Arabidopsis thaliana: one gene and its partners. The protein of the gene in region 4 purifies or fractionates together with the protein of the main gene of each other region. This does not show direct contact. Each region holds a gene or a part of one and is shown on either strand. Other genes may lie near its edges.

Region 1 (5,283 bases), on a different chromosome or scaffold from region 4:
CTAAGGCCAGCCTTGGCCAGGTCTGCAACAGCTTGTGTTTGTGTAGCTGAAAAGAGGCCAGTCCTACGTTGCTTTGGCAAGCGAGATATAATGTAATTGACCTGCTTCTGGAACCCCATATCCAAAAGTCTATCGGCCTCATCTAAGATAAGAATCTCGAGATTTCGAAAATCCAGAAACTCCATTCGTTTCATCATATCTGAAAGCCTTCCAGGGGTGCCGATCAAGAGATTGGCTCCTTCTTCTTCGAGAGTATTCATGTCAGCTTCCACCTCTCGACCTCCAACAAGCAGGACAGAGTTCACATTTGGCAAAGTCGAGACAAATGGCTCTGCCACCTTATGTATCTGCGCTGATAGCTCTCTAGTTGGCGATATAATCACCCCCATTACCTGAGATTGAAATTGTTAACATATAGCATAAGCTACTACTCTTGATATTCGGCTAATTCTCCTTACCTGGTGTGGCTTCGGAGGGTAGGAGTTGGATCGACGGATAATCTCTATGAAGGGAAGGAGGAAAGCTAGGGTTTTTCCAGAACCAGTGGCTGCGTCGACGACAACATCCTTGTGGCTGCAGAGGAAAGGGATCGTCTCGGCCTGAACCGGAGTGCAGACCTCGAAACCGGACCGGTCAAGCGCCTCGATGATATCTTCTGAGAGCGGAGGTTTGAGTTCAGAGAAACGCGGCAGAGCCTTGGTGATAGTCTTCGGCGGCGATGAATCCATGACGGCCGCCGCTTGCTTGTCGCTCACTCCAGATTATTTTTTAGCTATGATCTACATCAAAATTTTGTTCGAAATCTGTTGTTTTTGCTACAGTTTCTCCTAAAAGCCCACTAAGAGAAAAAATATCTCTCGGCCCATTAGTTTCAATTCTCTCTCGGCCCATTGTTTGGCATATGTGTAATTCCTTTTAGCAGAAAACGATATTTTGTCTTTACATTTCCTACTTAATGCATATCTTTCAGCTGTTTAATCTTTGTACTGATGACATAATTGACAAGTAAATATTCTAGTGTTCTTTCATGACATAATTGACAAGTAAATATTCTAGTGTTCTTTCATGGTGCTATAACCAAACATGAAATATTTCCGTGGTGCTTAATTAACGGCCTTGGTTGAATATTTGAAACGCGTAATGATGATGGTTAGAGTTAAATAAGACCACGAGAAATATTTCCGTCGGGTCCTTTAGTATTGGGTCTTAGCCCATTAAGAGTTTTACATTTAAATAACTTTGTCCCTTCTGATTTTCACGTTAGGCTTGGACCAACGGATCTTTAACTAACAATGGAACTACAAATCGGAGAATGTGGCGGTGGCGAATTCAATTTCAAGTCGAACGGCCGGCGGCGAAGTACGCCAAAGGTCCGACGAAGGCGGCGTTTATATAAGTCGCCGGTTCCGCGTGACTATAATCGTCTCTCTGATCTGGATACCCATCGTTTTGATTCGGACCTCCTACGATTGCTCCGGTGAGAATGTTAGGGTTAGGGTTTTGAGTGTAGAACGATTGGAATCCACCATTGCAGCCTAACGATTGAGAACGAAGTGCGTGTGAAGGAAGAGAAGATGCTCTGTGGTGGATTCTCTTAGGGAAATTGGAAGAGAATCCAACCATGTATGACATTTTGATTGGGTTATCTCCGAGTATGTAATCAACTTGTCGCTTCGATAGGCTTATCAAGGCGTTGGGGACGATAACGGAGCTTCCGCAATTGAATGTGTGTTTTGTGGCTTTCATGTATTTGGCGTAAGTTGTGAGCAAGAATGTTATGGAGGTTACGTACTGAAGATTGCTTTGAGGTAGCTTGTACATTAATCCTCCTGTAATTGGTAAACATATGATTAGAAGAGGTTGTTGTTTAGCAATTTGTGTTCTATATCGTGAAGTAGGTTACCTTGAGTGTATTGGGTAGAGGAAGAAGGAGAATCTGGAAGGATTTTGCAGATGAAATTCTCAGCTGCTTGCTTATATTGTTCAAAGTTGCTGTCTTTGTTAAGTAATGCTCTCTGCCAAAATGTAAAAGTTAGATAGTGTGATGCTAAAAGCTATGTTCTCAATGAGTTTTTATTAGCAGAGAGACAAACCCGTGAGAGAAGAACATAGGCACCAGCATATTTATTGTCCCAGCTGAAGATGTCAGGCTGATCTCCACCTCCTAAAGATTTTATGAAGTTTGCGTAATACGGGTTATTCGTTGCTCTTAGCAGCCATGACGCACCCCACATTAGCTCGTCCTGTGTTCATAAATTCACATTTTTAAAAATGAGGATCTGATGTAGTGGTAAGAGTGGTTTAGTTTCATGTGAAAGCAGACCTTGTAACCAGAGTAGGAGCAGTAGAAAGGACAGACAGATGAGGAAAGGGAATCACTGTAAGCTCCCTGGTACTGAATGGCAAACTGCATCACATCCTTAGCTGTTGCGAGCAGCAAACGTGAATACTTGGAATCAACTTTTCTGAAAACCATAGAAGCTGCAGCTAGAGCTGCTGCTGTTTCAGCTGCGACATCAGAACCAGGATTGGAAGCGGATACAGAGTAAACTGTACGTGGTGTGTCCATGTCTTCAGGCCGTTCCCAGCATTTGTGATCAACATTAGGATCTCCTACACCGACATAAAGCTTCCCCGGCGTGGCTCTGGCACATTTCAGCAGATAATCTGTGGCCCAACGGATGTTCACACGTGCATTTTCCAGCTCAGGACCCATCCGTTTACCGTATTCCAGTGCGCTCCATGAGAGCATTGTGGTGGTAAACGCCATTGGTAAATTGAACTTGACGTTGTCTCCTGCGTCATAGTACCCGCCGGTTAAGTCCACCTGCAATTCATATATCAATGTTACTAACAAAGATATATTCTGTATCAAAGTTAAATATGGTTTAAGGTGTGTACATGAGCAGCAGAGCCATCGGAAAGGCCAGAGCTAGCCCTCCAGGAAATTTGTTGGCCTCTAGGAAGAGGACCAGATCGCTGACCTTGGAAGAAGAGCAATGACTTGGAGAGAGCTTCTTTGTAATTTGGGTTGGCATCGCCATTGCTTATGAGAAGAGACGAGAAAAGGAGAACAAAGAAGAAAAGAGAAGTCATCTTGAAGACAGAGAGCTAAATTGCTTTTGAGGTTTGAAGTACGAAGCTATTACGTGAAGGTCCACATATATATACAGAGAGATAGGAGAGAGAAGGATCCTGCGCTGAAGGAAGCGATAATTATGGCTTTTTGGTTATCAACGTGCTGCTCCTAAACAAAGTAACCTTAATCCTCCTTTTTTACTATTTTATGGTTTAGGTTAGTTCATACCTTAATATTGCTTAACCAAATCCTTTTCTTTTTTTTTTGTCTATTGTTAAATTCTAGTTGTTTCACCTTTGTTTGTCCATTCTAGTTGTTTCACCTTTGTTTGTCCATTCAAATTCCTCTGTACGTTTTTTCTTTTATGTCAATTGTTAAGTATTTTCTTAAAAGTGTTGAGAAACGGAAGAAATTAAACTAGGTTATTTGATATTAGTGGGGGTGTATTGGGAAGCAAGAAAGTCTTAATAGTCTCTTATTTCCTAAGAGGTAGTATTGGGACATGAATAAACGAAATATAAACGCACGTAACGACTTTGCGTCTTCTCGAAAAGATACTGTTATAGTCAAATGTCGAATGCAAAAGTTGGACTCTTTTATTCTCAAAAGACGGAAGAGTTTTCAGTTTTTTGATATACTGATATCTATGTATTTTAAAAAAATTAATCGGATGGATTTCAAAAAAAAAAATTTGAAGCGGAAGTCTTTGATTCGTATTTTTCCTTATATGAGATTTTGATCCGATTTTTTTTTGCAATCGAATCAGATCGTTCCCTTTTTGAGATTTTTCCTACATAAAATCCAAACGACATTTAATCATTGATTTTTTCAATTTATCGTGTATATACAATATACTTGTAAAGTAAATGGTTTCATATTTTAATGCAAAGCAAATATCCAACGTATATTAACTTAACAAACCAATATTTGATATTTAAACTGTTTCCTATAAAAATGCTACAAATTATGACCCCATTAATATTTGTCTCATAAATCAACTGAACCATATAAAATCGACATTCAATCACACCTACTGAATTGGAAATGATTCCTAACTAAACGATTTTATTTCTAAGATATCTAATACTTGCTAAACAAGTAACGTTTTCCTTTTATGCAAACCTAAGTTTGTTTTTAATATATTTCCTAGTTACGATATACATAGACTGTTTAAAATTTTGAAATGGGCAGTTTCGGGGTTAAAATGGATCTACCGTAGTAAGAATATGTTCATATATGGGTATAGTTAGGGAGTGCATAGTTGAATTAGGTTAGGGGGATTAAGTGATTTTGAATTTAAAAAGAGGAGACAAAAGATAAAAGGGAAGCGTGAATGGCGCCAAGATAACGGCGCCGAGTCTTGGAACGTAATCAAAAGTGTGTGTTTAGTGTAATGGAGACGAAATTGATGCCTTAATCCACTTTCTTATCCCATGTGTTTATTATAGTATTACTCTCTTTATTTGCTTTTTCTTTCATGGGACATTCTTTTTGTTTAGCTTGTGTAATAACAAAAGCGAGTAAAAAGGCGACAACGTGTCTGCTCGATGTCATTGATCTTCTGACATTATATGAGTTAAGAGAATGATTAACTTGGGTATAATGTATTTATCAATGTTTAAGCAGACGCGTGATGAAAGCTTCAGGTAATACTTATTAGTAATTGTAATCATTCGATATCACTAGTCGCAATCAGGACTCAAAATATCATACTAATATTTTTCTCCCGTAAAGATTAATGGTTTGCATGAGAATAATAAATAGATCAAGAGAGATTTCAGAATTAAGCAACAGTTTATCTCTTGTTTTTTACTCACATGCTTAATGATTTTTTTACTCCTGGTGGCCCTACCCACTGATACTACTCGAAGAATTTTCGGTTGTTTTGTTGGCAAATGATTTTTTTGTATCCTTTTTGTCAAAAAGGTGTTTTCTTTTTATTCTTTCATGTTTGTACTTCTGAATGGCTTTTACATTTTGTTGAGGAGGACAAACAGTGGATACCATCCACGACTATGCGAGGAAAATTTTGGAGGAAATTTTTTTAGCCGAAGATTTGATTGCTAAAGTTGGACTTGGATCCTCTAGTAACCATTTGACTCTTTCTTTATAATAAAAACTACACCAAAATAAATGTAGATTTATTATATATTTATATATAGATGCACGACTATGTACTGTATTAGGGATTTAAATTAGCACAT
Region 2 (5,402 bases), on a different chromosome or scaffold from region 4:
TAGCTAGTTACATGGATTGAGGAGTCCACTATAACCCATTAAACTATTCTTAATAGCTCTATTTCATTTGATTGTTGAATCTCGTTTTATTTGCTTGTTGTTAAACTCTATTGTTTTACTCGACTGTTGAACTCGACTTGCTTGCGTCTGATCATTTATGCTTCTTTGATTTTGAGTTGAAGTATGTGTTCCTGGTCTTTAGTGCTTTATTGATTTGTGTTCCTTGTTTTTCTTTAGTACTGGTAATCTTGCATTTTCTTTAGTTTATTGTTTTGTTTACTTTTGGTCTTTAGTTTCAATTGATATGCATGCTGCTTCATTGCTTAGTTGTTTAGTTCTTTACATTCTCCTTAGTATAGTTGCATTTGAATTTGGTATTGCATGTTAATCTATTGTTTAAGTTCAATAGAAACCCAAACCTTATCATATTTGACTTGACTTGACTTAAATAATTGTTGTTTATGTCTTGAATATTTGCAATCACACAAAGGATTGGATTGATACCCTTCTATGCTGCAATGATATTGATATGCTTAGTAGGGAATTCATAGATCATTGAGATAGTAAAGTATAAAATGGTTCTCTGAGACAAATTTTTGGCCTTGGTTATAAAGAACAAACTGTTTAGTATTGCTGAGATGTGGCATGTAGTTGTTATAGGCTCTCTGATTCTGAATGTAATTTATCTATTCAGTTTGAGAAGTCTCTCCTTCTTGGATTTAGAAGTATTTTTCTTTAGTAATATAGTGGGATGGCCTCAGTTGAGATAATAAAAGCGTGTCCAAACGAAACTGATAGTTTTGATTCCAAATGGAGATTATTTTCTAGAACCTAAAAACCCCAAAACAAAAAAAAAATCCGGAAATAAAGTTGTTTAGTAATTTTTCTTCAGTGACTTCCACTCCTTAGATAATCAATATCGTAATTGTTGTCATTGTTACTAGAAAACACATAAAATAATTTCCAAAATTTATATGTTAAGTAATATGTTGGAAACCCTAAAATCTGATGTTTGCTTGAGCTCATATCGCAACTTGTACGTTTACGTGAAGTCTAATCCACATCTGACTACTGCTAAAGTTAGTTTATCCTATTTAGTTTCTTCTGTAGTGGGGATATAATTTTCATAATCGTGACCGCTTCATAACAATGTCGAATGGGCCAAATCCGCGAACACTTCACCTAGTTAAAAGTTAAAAACCTAATAAAGGTGAGTTACATTACCTAAATCTTGATTTGAACTAAGCAATTTTCATGCTATGCGGGTTAGATTTCTAAAATTATTAGATCATTTATTAGCAAATATCTTTTGTATCAGATTACTTTGCCATATAACTAGGTGTTTAAGAATAGAGGAAGGATGTGAACACATGTTGAAAATGATGTCTAAACGATCGAATCCAAATTAACACTTATAAATCGATCCGGAAAATCATGAAAATGAAAAGAAATGTATAGTGTTAGTTAAACTGTAATTAACTTAAACATGACAAAATATTTTATATAAGTGAAGTTACTAAATGATTCGTCTTAATAGAAACATAGCCTTAGCTATATATTTTTTTCCTTAGGTTGGATGTTTCCACAACTCCGCATTTCATATTTTGTTTCTAAGGTTATGTGGTGGTAGTCCGATGTTTTAGGTCAAGTTTTGGTCGATGGTTCTTCTTTCTATCTTTGACATTTTCTTTTCTTGGCTTTCAATCAGTCTTTCATATCTACTACAGCGGTAAAAACAGTTGGGCGTCTTTAAGTTTATTCTACTCTAGTTCAAAATCATAAGTGATTGAGATCTTATTAGTTATTGTTTTTTCGGTTTATATCTCGACGTTACCGATGTTGGCGAATAGCACAAGGTTCCCTAACCTTAACCTCAAAAGAAAGATCCACTAAATAGAAGTAAATAAAGCATATGATTCAATTTCAGAAGTTTACAAAACACTAAACAAGAACATGAAAACCAAAAAATAGTGAATTGTCTTCTTTTTTGGGAATAGTATCTCTGGAGATTTCAACATTTATGACCAACTTATTTTTTTGGAATACTTTTTTTTTATCGTTGACTTTATGTAATTTCTAAATTTTACTATGACAATTTTTTTTTTTTTTTTTTTTTTGTCGTTTTTACTATGACAATTTAAATTTAGTTTATAAGGACTTGTGATATTAAACTATTAATAACAATATGATTTAAATTTTAAATATAATTTATATTTCCACATATTGTTCTTAGTGTATATTCTCTGTATTTTCCATTTCGAGTCTGTGGAGTGGTCTCTCCCCTCTCTACCCTAAAACACACTCACCCACTTTCCTCTGTATAAGCCTCTCTCTCCTCTCTCTTCTCCTCTGCCATGAAAATCGCAGTTCCTCAAGACAAAACCTCCTCAGAAATCTCCCATCTTTGATGACTTTTGCTTCCTTAGTTTTCACTTTCTTGTCCGAACGCTCTCAAAAACTTTGAGACCACCCCAATAAACGAATTAAACAGACTATTATCAATCAATACACAACACAACAATCAAACCAAACCCCATGGCTGAGAATCTTGCTTGTGGTGAAACCAGCGAGTCATGGATCATTGACAACGACGATGATGATATCAACTATGGCGGCGGATTTACGAACGAGATTGATTACAATCACCAACTTTTTGCTAAAGACGACAACTTTGGCGGCAACGGATCAATTCCGATGATGGGTTCTTCTTCATCGTCCTTGAGTGAAGACAGAATCAAAGAGATGTTGGTGAGAGAGATTGAGTTTTGCCCTGGAACTGATTATGTTAAGAGATTGCTTTCTGGTGATTTGGATTTGTCTGTTCGAAACCAAGCTCTTGATTGGATTCTAAAGGTATGTGATTTCTTCTTTTGATTGCTTTGATCTGTGTTGTGTTTTAAGACAAACCTCAAATCTGGTTTGGTCTCTTTTTGTGCTTTGTGATTGAGTTTAAGTGTGTTCTTTGATCAGTTTGATAGCTCATTCATTCTCTGATGTATTTATTATAGATTAATTGAATCTTCTCTATAGATTGAGGTATTGATCTTGTTGAGTAATTGAGTTCTTTTGTCTTTAATGCCAATTGTTCTACAGGTTTGTGCTCATTACCATTTTGGACATCTGTGCATATGCCTATCCATGAACTACTTGGATCGGTTCTTAACATCCTATGAATTGCCGGTAAGTTGCATCGTCTTTGCGGATTGGTTTCATCGTATTCGAGACAATACGATGACCGGTTTGTGTGTTTTCGATTGCGTAGAAAGACAAGGATTGGGCTGCTCAGTTACTAGCTGTGTCTTGCTTATCATTAGCATCCAAAATGGAAGAAACTGATGTGCCTCACATTGTTGATTTACAGGTGCAACTTACATTTAGTCCTTAATAGCTTCAGTCTTCTTACGAAGAGTCGAAAATCGAGGTTTTAGTGGAACTAATCTTGAAATGTTGTTCCTATGAGCAGGTGGAAGATCCCAAGTTTGTTTTTGAGGCCAAAACAATAAAAAGGATGGAGCTTTTGGTTGTCACCACTTTGAATTGGAGATTGCAAGCTCTAACTCCATTCTCCTTCATTGATTATTTCGTTGACAAGATCAGTGGTCACGTGTCGGAGAATTTGATCTATAGATCGTCAAGATTCATCTTAAACACCACCAAAGGTGCGTCATTTATTGATCAGAAGCAAGCTATAACAACATTCTTTCTTTATTTGCAACTAACTTGGCTTTGTTTAATGAGGAAGGCTGATACGTTTCTGTTTATAAAATTGAATGCAGCAATTGAATTCTTAGACTTCAGGCCTTCTGAGATAGCTGCAGCTGCTGCAGTGTCTGTTTCCATTTCAGGAGAAACAGAATGCATTGATGAGGAAAAGGCACTGTCTAGTCTCATATATGTAAAACAGGTAATTAACATTCGGTATGATAGCGAAAGACTTAAACCTTTACTGTTTCAAGAACACACATTTCATCTGATCATTGTCTTCCTTTAGCAGGAGAGGGTGAAGAGATGTTTGAATCTGATGAGAAGTCTCACTGGGGAGGAGAATGTGCGGGGAACTAGTTTATCGCAGGAGCAGGCGCGAGTTGCGGTAAGAGCTGTACCTGCAAGTCCAGTTGGAGTGTTGGAAGCAACATGTTTGAGCTATAGGAGTGAAGAGAGAACAGTTGAGTCATGTACAAATTCCTCACAGAGTAGTCCAGACAACAACAACAACAACAACAACAGCAACAAGAGGAGGAGAAAACAATGAGAGAGAATAAAAGAGTCATACATTGCTTTTTACAACCCAAAACCACAAGTACTCATGACATTTGAGGTTCTTATTTATTTTTTTGGTTTTTTTTTTCTACATAAATTTTCTTTTTCTTTCTTTGATTTCTCATTTTCAATCTGAAAATTGGATTGAATATGAGAGTTTTGTGAGAAAGGAAAAAAGAAAATAAGAGAGAGAGAGAGAGCTCTTTGGAAGGCGGCAAAATTAATAAGTCATTATTGATGATGATGAGAGACATCCCTGTTCTTGCTCCAAGGGACTTTTTTTTTTCTACATAATGTCAGAGATATAATTAAAAAAAAAAGAAATAGAAAGAGAATTAATTTTATGATTTTTGTGTCCTCAAATATGCACTATAGTATATATCTTTTATTTTAACATATGTCAGAAGTTATAAAGTATCATATAATGCAGTAGAGATTATTTTAAATTTATATTAAAAAAAACTTTTATCACAGAAAAATCTATATTCTCTCCATTTTACAAAAAATTTGTTGTTCCTATAAATATGCATATATCATGTTAAAAAAAACTGTTGTTCCGATAAATTTTTATCACATAAAAATCTATATTTTCTCCATTATCGGAACATACAATTTTTTCTAAACTGTTCTAAATCACATCGTAGTGACATGAGATTACATTTTTGTGAATGTAGTATTGAATTGGAACACTGTAAATATTGATGACTCTAGTACCTATAATTTAAATTCAAATTATTTAGAAGCTTTTCAACAATTAAGTAAGATATTCCTAAATATTTTCAACAATTAAGTAAGACATTTCCAAAAAAAATTTAAAAATAATACTAAATTTGTGCTATTTGTGGAACATTCGAAAACATGTGATATTTTTTTTGAAACTAAACTTATTTTTGCCCTTAAATATATTCAAGTTCTTACTATTCTCAAGAACTTCTAGTTATAAAAAGAAGTACAATTGACATTATTTAAAATTAAAATAATTTCTAAAACGATATACAAGAGAATTTATTTTTAAAAACCCTTACTATTTACCTGGTTACTGGTTAGTAACTTATTACATATTAATACAACCCTTGAATTTTATGTATTTTTACTATTATCTTTGCTTTGAAAAAAAATATCTAATTTTCCCAACAACAAAA
Region 3 (4,305 bases), on a different chromosome or scaffold from region 4:
GGTCTCCGGTTCGAACCCGGGCGAAGCCATTTATTAATTTTGATTTTTTTTTGATAAATTTCCGGTTCAAATATGCGTTGAACGTAGAGATTTGATTGAATCTGAAATCTAAAAATCGCAGGCTTAAGTTAGTACTTGAATCATTGTTATATTCGCAGTTATCTTGAGATTTTCGTACTGTACATTTCAATATTTTATCCATCTTGATACATTTACATATGTTGTGATTTATAATTAGCTAGAAAATCCCCTCACAAATAACTATTTAACTAAATGGAAATCAATCAAAGATAATGTCTCATTCTCATCTATAAAGTCTTAAGCATCTCTTCAGTGAAATTTCTAAAGTTAAAGCTGGTGATATATACATCTATCCTATAGGTTTCAAGTTTTTTAGTATGTCAAGCAATGCAACCGCTGCAATATAAGTGCAACTATTTTGAAAATAAAACATTTCTAATGTCATTTGAAGTGGCTTGAATGAACCCAACTACACGATGGACTCACTTAAACAATACTCACCTCACTGGACTCCTTTAAAGCCCGCACCACTAAAAAAAATATACTCTTCTTGTTACTAGACATTAGCCTATACCAAATCCCATTAGCCTTAATTTTCGATATGCATCATTAATAAAAGTCAGTGGTTGATAAAGAAATCTTACACACAAAAAAAACTTATATATTGTATATCCCGACAATGAAAAAAAAGAGATATAGAGGGGAGTATTATGAAGATATCTTCACATGTAGTAATCAATGCCGTATGAGTCGTTCTCACATGGATGTTTTAAGGTACCAATCTTTGAATATTTTGAAGATTTCAATAACTCAAAATCAACAAAATCTAACATACAAACTTTTGACATGTCCGAATTAATACTAACACATGTATCGATAGAGTTTAGTGATAAATCACTTAGCCCTAATGCTCTACATCTAATTATTAAATGTGTAGACTTTCATTTTTATAAGCTGGTTTGTTAGTGGAAATGAGTTGTTATGAACTAAATCCTAGCTAATCCCTAGGGAAAAAAAACTTGGGTAGATTTTTCATTTTAATTAACGAACGATACAAAGACGTGTGTAGAGTCTATAGACGAAGTGATGAAAAGGGTTTAGGCAAAAAGAGAAAGATAGAAAGAAAGTGAAATTGGTTTTGGAATTTGTTCTTATCTTTCCCCTACTTCCCAAAGCAATCCCGTTTTTCAGGTTTGTCTCTATTATTAAAATTCATTCTTAACTTGATATGGTAAGACGTGTTTATAGATACACTTACTGATTTTATAATAAAAATGCAAGGATTTTTGAAATCTGTTAAAATCAAATCTTTATCAAAATGTAATAAAATCAATAAACGAGGAATACCATATTTCAAAAGTATTAAGCGAATAAAAACACGATTTTATTTTTAAAAACTTTGGTATCAACGTTATGATAACACATGATTATGTTTAGATTTTTAAATCAATTAAAATCCGATAACTCTCACTAATATTTTTCTTTTATATGTTTTAGTTGGCACAAATTAAAAAAAAAATCTATCCCAAATTTTTTAAATATATGTATTATTATTGGTTAGGTTTTAAAAAAGAACAAATATGGGTTATTTCGTTTATTAATTAGTTTCGACACTCTAACAAATGTTTTGTCCCTTACCTAAAGAGAAGACCGTCATGAACAAAGCAAAGAAAAGAGTCGGTGTAACGCCACATCATCCCATGACTCATATTGGTAAAACTATCTTCTCTCTTTCACACTTCTTCTTTTTACTTTGGACTAATGATTTAATCAAAGATGTCATTTTAACATATATGTATAAAACGCGTAATTGGGAAGATACACACACACACATACCAGCTATGACGTGACAGTGTGTGTTAGATATTGAGATGATGAGCTGGCATCAACCTCTCTATAGTCTCTATATAATCCATTCTTTGTCCTCTCTTCTCTTTACATGTAAATTCACATATCTCTCTCTCTTATTTGATCATAAAGATATTATTGCTTCTTCAAGTAAACAAAAAATGGGAAGCTTTCTCTTCCTCATCGTAGTCATCTTCCTCTTCTCTTCATCCGTTAACGCTTGTGATCGATGTCTTCACCGTTCTAAAGCAGCTTATTTCTCCTCTGCCTCTGCTCTCTCTTGTAAACATTTTAACTACTTCTTTTTTAACTATCTGTATGTTTCTTTTCTCATGTCTTGTTTATGTGTTTTTTGCAGCTGGAGCTTGTGCTTATGGCTCTATGGCTACGAGTTTCTTCGCCGGACATATCGCTGCAGCTATCCCTTCTATCTACAAAGACGGTGCTGGCTGTGGAGCTTGCTTTCAAGTCAGATGCAAGAACCCTAAGCTGTGTAGCACTAAAGGAACCATTGTGATGATCACAGACTTAAACAAGAGTAACCAAACCGATCTTGTCCTTAGTAGCAGAGCTTTTAGAGCTATGGCTAAACCTATTGTTGGTGCTGACAAAGACCTTCTCAAACAAGGCATTGTCGACATCGAATACCAAAGGTTCGATTCTCAAAACACCTAAACTCTTTGGTTTTCTTAATCACACGATATTAACTTGGTCATCAAAAAAAAAAACAGAGTTCCTTGCGATTACGGCAACAAGAACATGAACGTGAGAGTAGAAGAAGCAAGCAAGAAACCAAACTACTTAGAGATAAAGCTTTTATACCAAGGAGGTCAAACAGAAGTAGTATCCATCGACATTGCTCAAGTCGGTTCATCGCCAAATTGGGGTTACATGACAAGAAGCCACGGAGCTGTTTGGGTAACTGACAAAGTACCCACCGGAGCTATCCAGTTCAGGTTCGTAGTAACCGGTGGATACGACGGTAAAATGATTTGGTCACAGAGTGTTCTTCCATCCAATTGGGAAGCTGGGAAAATTTACGACGCCGGTGTTCAAATCACTGACATTGCTCAAGAAGGTTGTGATCCTTGCGATGCTCACATCTGGAACTAAGTTATTTAGTGGCACACAAACAAACATCTTTCATAGGTTTATATATAATGTGTGACAGAGGTTATTAATGAACATAGTTAAAGAATGCTTAATCTAATGATTCTCATGATTCTACATTGATTAAACAAGAGAACAACATTGAGCCATTAACAACCAGAACTTTTGATTCGAAGACAGATTCATAAGATTACTTTACAACGGAGAATGATAATTAAAGCTTAATAAAACGAAAGAGAAATCCTAACACAAGTTATGACAACATCAGAATCAAATTCAGAGTATACAAACCCTAATTTACTAATTCAAGAGCTTGTGAATTTGGTAACAGCCTTGGTTCCTTCAGAAACAGCGTGTTTAGCGAGCTCACCAGGAAGAACGAGTCTAACAGCAGTCTGAATCTCCCGAGAAGTAATCGTCGGCTTCTTGTTATACCTAGCGAGCTTTGAAGATTCCGATGCCAATTTCTCGAAGATGTCGTTGATGAAACTGTTCATAATACCCATAGCCTTGCTTGAAATACCAATATCTGGATGAACTTGTTTCAGAACCTTGAAGATGTAGATCTTGTAAGTTTCCACACTCTTCTTCTTCATCTTCTTCTTCTTATCGCCGCCGGCCCCGGCTTCCTTCGGGAGTTTCTTGCCGGCTTTTGGTTTCTTCTCCGCCGGAGCTTTCTCGGCTTTTGATTTCTCCTCTACTGGTTTCTCGGCGGCTGGTTTCTTCTCCGCGGGCTTCTTCTCTGCTCTCGGCGCCATTGTTTTGACTTTTGTTTTACTTTTCTGGGTGAAGAAGAAGAAGCACAGATCTGAGTGATTTTGATATCTAATTTGATGAAGACGAGTTTTGATTTTATAGTAGTTAGAATAATTGATATGATTGGTTATTAGATGTTGACGAGGATCGATGAGATGGGAGATCGCAACCGTTGAAATTGTTTTTAATCGACGGTTTATAAACTTATGAAGCGGGATCGATGACGTGTCAATATTGGTTTATGTTTTAGCGCGGTGTTAAAATCTCCGTTCCCGCTCCACTGTATTGTAAATGGGCTTTTATTGGGCTTAAAATTTTAATATCAGCCTGATCCAAAGCAGATCTGATTAATGTGGTCTATACAATTATGAAAAAACTAACTAAACATATCTGTGAAGAAACAGAGTATAGAATATATATACTAGTAGGCTTGCACTAACAGTTTAACACAATATATTTTGCTGTAAAACTGAACCTGATTACAACTTACAAGCTGATTTAAAATGAATTTGTTGACTAATAATATGAGACAGCTAAAATATAAAGAATTTGTTGTATTTGCATAAACAA
Region 4 (3,985 bases):
TTTCGAAAAAGACATGAGAGTCTAAGTTTAGGAGGAACAACAGCTGTTTGCAATTCAGCTTTTGTTTTAATAAAGTATTTTGTTTTTTTTGATTAATTAAAGTGGCAAATAATTGGACTCTTGATCGTGAAGAAATACGAACAGAAAATCAATAAACGCAAGTGTCCCGATTAGAAACTTTGGTAACTTTTAAAAATGTTAGATATTTGTATGAAATTCCTCTTAATTAAATAATTTAATAGTTTTTAGAATTACGTGTATAAAATGTCACTTTGATCAATAGGATTTAAACTATAATTGGTGATTCTGATTTTGACTAATATAACTCTTATTTTTCCTGAACTGTTGCATTTATATCAAAAGTAGCTAGTTGGCATTGATATTGACGTCTTTGCTCTTTTTCTTTCTTTTTAAATGGTTATTTCCGGGTTTTCGATTAGTCATTTTTCTGTTCTTATTGATTAACTCAATTAATCGTCAATATCAAAATTACTCACGAATATAATTAAAATTAAATTAAGTAATAAGAGCTGTAAGAAGAGAAACACAAAGCATCTTCGTATAAATTTATACTAAATGTAAACATACTAACAACATTAACAAAGAAAACTCCATAGAGGTCCAAGAGAAGAGGTTAGATTAGTTTGGAATATAATAACAAGGGAAAATAATTAACTAAAGCTATTCTGCTAGTACAACGAGTTACGATAAAAGTCAATGTATTACTTATCATATAGTATTCATATTCAAATCGTGTTAGTGATCATATAATATTTTTTTCTTTTGGCGTATGAATCAGAAATTTATGTGTAGTTTCGTAATTCGGACTCATAGAAAAAAATTGTCAAGTCGTGGTGAAAAGGACAATCACTCAAAACTAAAGGCACTAACAAAATATTTTGTCACTCATTCGTCAAAACTTAATTGATACTATAGAAAGACATCAATATGACTCATGTATGTAGACTGAGACTCCACTACAAATTGTAGACTACAATCTCCCTGTTATTTCTCTTTTTTTTTTTTTTTTTTTTCATATATCAATTTTATATTTTTTTAATAAAAAAATCTGATAACTGAATCTCCAAAATGAAAATTAAATTACTAGGAGTCCAGGACTAGGTTTCGTTTGATATAAAAGTGGAGCCGCAAGCAATATTGCTTGATCAATTAGTATTATATAATGGTAAAAACTAATAACTAGGATTATTGTATAATTTGTACTCATGATCATCGAGAGTAGAGAATGTGATAGGCTCTCCATGTTCACATATATATACGTTGACATTTCAGTGAAACAACAAATTGCAAGAAAATTTCCTTGAGTACAACAAAGACCTGCAAACAACTCTATTTCCACATAAAATTCGTTGTTTTTATTATTTAAATAAGAAGCTCTACAATACGTCTACGTTGTAATTTAAAACGACAAGTTAAGAACTTATCTGAGGACCATTTTAACCGATGTTGAAACTAGAAGACCGAGTCAAGTGAAAAGGATTAGTAGTTGACAACAACGAAAAACATGAAGTTACAATAAACTAATTTTAATTATTAATCGCCGGAGCACCCCACATATTCTCGGAGCTCTTTTCGCCGCCGGTAATGTTTATTTTAATGGGCCAAAACGGATATATTATATAGTTAATCAGATTGGGCCGTTTAAGTTTTTTTGGGTTTTTTGCTTTCTTCTTGGGTTTGACCGATTGATACTTTTTGTGGTTTATGGGCTTCTCTTAAATTTGCTACTATAATAATTTTTTGATAATTTTATATTTCTAAAGTTTTGTTATACCATAATCAATATATAATCTTGACAAAAATCAATTACTTATAATTTTTATTTTTTGCTACGTTGGCTTGTAACTGGAGGACAAGAACAACGGTAACAGTGAGAGTGCGTTTAACTCTCAGAAATAAATCACGTGAATAACTTGGTGGAAGACCGCACGTGCCACCCTCGTGATTCATTTCCAGAAGCTATATAAGGATTAAAAAGATACCGGTTTACAATTTCGGTTTAATGTTACCAAAACCGATCGGTATACGAACATAAAATTTTCGCTGCAAAAAGGAAGGAGTCCTTTTTTAATTTTCCCGCCCAAAGGGACTTGCTGCGCAAGTTCGCGCCGTCACAAACGGATAAATTACAGATAAAAAATATTATTAAATATGATAAAAGTGGACAAAATATATATTAATATAATAAAGATTTACCAATAATGATAGTGGAGCGTGAGAAACGGTGCGGTTGGGTCACGCGTTACTTAAATTTGGTGCTACCAACCACTAAAATTCCACCACGTCAGCATAGCCAGCTCACATCAAGCTGTTTAAAACCATATCCACCGTCCGATTGATATTTCAGAAAGAGCTTCGTGAGAAAGATTCCTTTTTTGTTCTCCCTCCCAAATTTCGAATTTTTTAAAAGGAAATAATCTGAATTTTTTTTTTTTTTTTGATATATAAAATAAAGATGTAACCGCCTCTTCTCAGACTTCAAATTTTTTCCCTCTTACGACGATTTCGAGTTCGAGAGAGAAGAATGGAGGTGGTGGAGAGGAAGACGGAGATGGCGGAGGAAGGATGTACGACGCCGAGAAGCACGATGTATAGGATTCCGGTGGCGTCTGTTTGTCCACCGCCGCCGAGGAAGAAGTTGATGGTGGTGAGAAAACGAGATCCGCCGAGGAACGGGTACTTTCAGCCACCAGATCTTGAAACTTTGTTCTACGCACAGCCTCGAAGAGAAGCTTGCGCTTAGATTTTGAGATTTGATTTGATTTGAATTATCTAGGTTTTTTTTTTACTTTCTTCTCTGTAGATACATGTTTAGGGTTTGTTCTCTTATTAGATTTTATTTATCTTTCAGAGAGATGACTTTGTTTGTGTATCGAAATTGGAATTTGCTAAAATGAAACTTTGATCTGTTTTCCAATTCGAAATTTGTTGGCTTGTGTTCTAGATCTAATTAGTTCTTGTCGGAGATTGAAAGATTGATTGTTAAACTCTGATTATGCTGTTTATTGATTAGAGAGTTTTTTTCAACTACATAATTGGGTGAGAAAGTGAGGTTTAGAAACTGTGAACAAGACAACATCAAAAGCTTAACGAAAATTCAGATGAACCAATGTCTTTATTTGCTCTGTTTTTTTGGTTATTCATAAGTGTTGAAAAAGTAGTGCTCAAACTCTTTGATCAATGGTTGGTTTTTGAGGTAGTTTCTTCGGAATCTGCAATTCAAATGAATGTCATACAATTTTGTAATGCGTGACACTAAAATATTGACTCATGTAGGTGAGTAAAGTCTTCAACATCTTCGTGTGTTTTATGATTAACTTTGGAACAACACTGGTCCAAGCTTGATGTAACATAACCAGAACCATAACTTCCGGTTGAATGATTAGACATGTGTCCTTGCCGGTTTTTGTGTCCCAAATAAGGTTCTGGGAGAGACGCAAAAGGGGAGGTCTCATTGCCGGTTTTTGTGTACTCCATGGCTCCATGGCATATAAGAGCATTTCAGCAGATTCTATGTCGGATGAAGAATCAGGAAGAGAAGCTTGTTGCTCCAGACAAAAGTGCTTCCGTAGGGGTAAACATGGCTGATTCTTCAACACAGTTTCCTCTTTTTGCTCTGAGTCACAAGGTTTCCGCAGTGACTATCATCAGATCGTTGATATCGCTGAAAGCAAATAGTCGTATAGTAAAGGTCATATATTAACTTATTTTCCATGAGAGTAAAGAGATGACTATCTACAATTGTAACTTCCAAGTTAATTTCTTAAGTATAAAGTATCCACACCGTTTAACTAAAGACAACATTTTACATTTAACATAGGTACCACTGAGATGAAGAGGAAGGATCTCTTAAAGTACAAATCTTGTTAGTCCAGAATCTAAATCCACAAGTACTTTGTTTGAATATAGCAAAGATAAGCTATGCTAGCTATACTTACGATTCAAGTGTTCAGTATCTCGTAGG

Evidence for each region.
Region 1: the proteins of AT5G02220 (region 4) and CEL3 purify together in Arabidopsis thaliana (affinity purification with mass spectrometry, with the first as the bait; one large-scale study listed by BioGRID). This does not show direct contact.
Region 2: the proteins of AT5G02220 (region 4) and CYCD2;1 purify together in Arabidopsis thaliana (affinity purification with mass spectrometry, with the first as the bait; one large-scale study listed by BioGRID). This does not show direct contact.
Region 3: the proteins of AT5G02220 (region 4) and EXLA1 purify together in Arabidopsis thaliana (affinity purification with mass spectrometry, with the first as the bait; one large-scale study listed by BioGRID). This does not show direct contact.

Annotation. Positions count from the first base shown.
Region 1 is NC_003070.9:26,898,654-26,903,936, forward strand, and holds CEL3 (cellulase 3), read right to left. Parts: upstream 3,324-5,283; 5' UTR 3,097-3,323; coding exon 2,902-3,096; intron 2,828-2,901; coding exon 2,324-2,827; intron 2,244-2,323; coding exon 2,094-2,243; intron 2,016-2,093; coding exon 1,904-2,015; intron 1,830-1,903; coding exon 1,336-1,829; 3' UTR 1,112-1,335; downstream 1-1,111. Other genes in the region: AT1G71370 (DEA(D/H)-box RNA helicase family protein), read right to left, coding at 1-392, 459-728.
Region 2 is NC_003071.7:9,553,007-9,558,408, reverse strand, and holds CYCD2;1 (Cyclin D2;1), read left to right. Parts: upstream 1-2,263; 5' UTR 2,264-2,535; coding exon 2,536-2,853; intron 2,854-3,093; coding exon 3,094-3,180; intron 3,181-3,262; coding exon 3,263-3,361; intron 3,362-3,463; coding exon 3,464-3,659; intron 3,660-3,776; coding exon 3,777-3,904; intron 3,905-3,991; coding exon 3,992-4,252; 3' UTR 4,253-4,606; downstream 4,607-5,402.
Region 3 is NC_003074.8:16,894,208-16,898,512, forward strand, and holds EXLA1 (expansin-like A1), read left to right. Parts: upstream 1-1,958; 5' UTR 1,959-2,030; coding exon 2,031-2,151; exon of another isoform or gene 2,152-2,187; coding exon of another isoform or gene 2,188-2,227; coding exon 2,228-2,522; intron 2,523-2,600; coding exon 2,601-2,982; 3' UTR 2,983-3,101; downstream 3,102-4,305. Other genes in the region: HTB9 (Histone superfamily protein), read right to left, coding at 3,285-3,737.
Region 4 is NC_003076.8:440,663-444,647, reverse strand, and holds AT5G02220 (cyclin-dependent kinase inhibitor), read left to right. Parts: upstream 1-2,460; 5' UTR 2,461-2,545; coding exon 2,546-2,764; 3' UTR 2,765-3,196; downstream 3,197-3,985.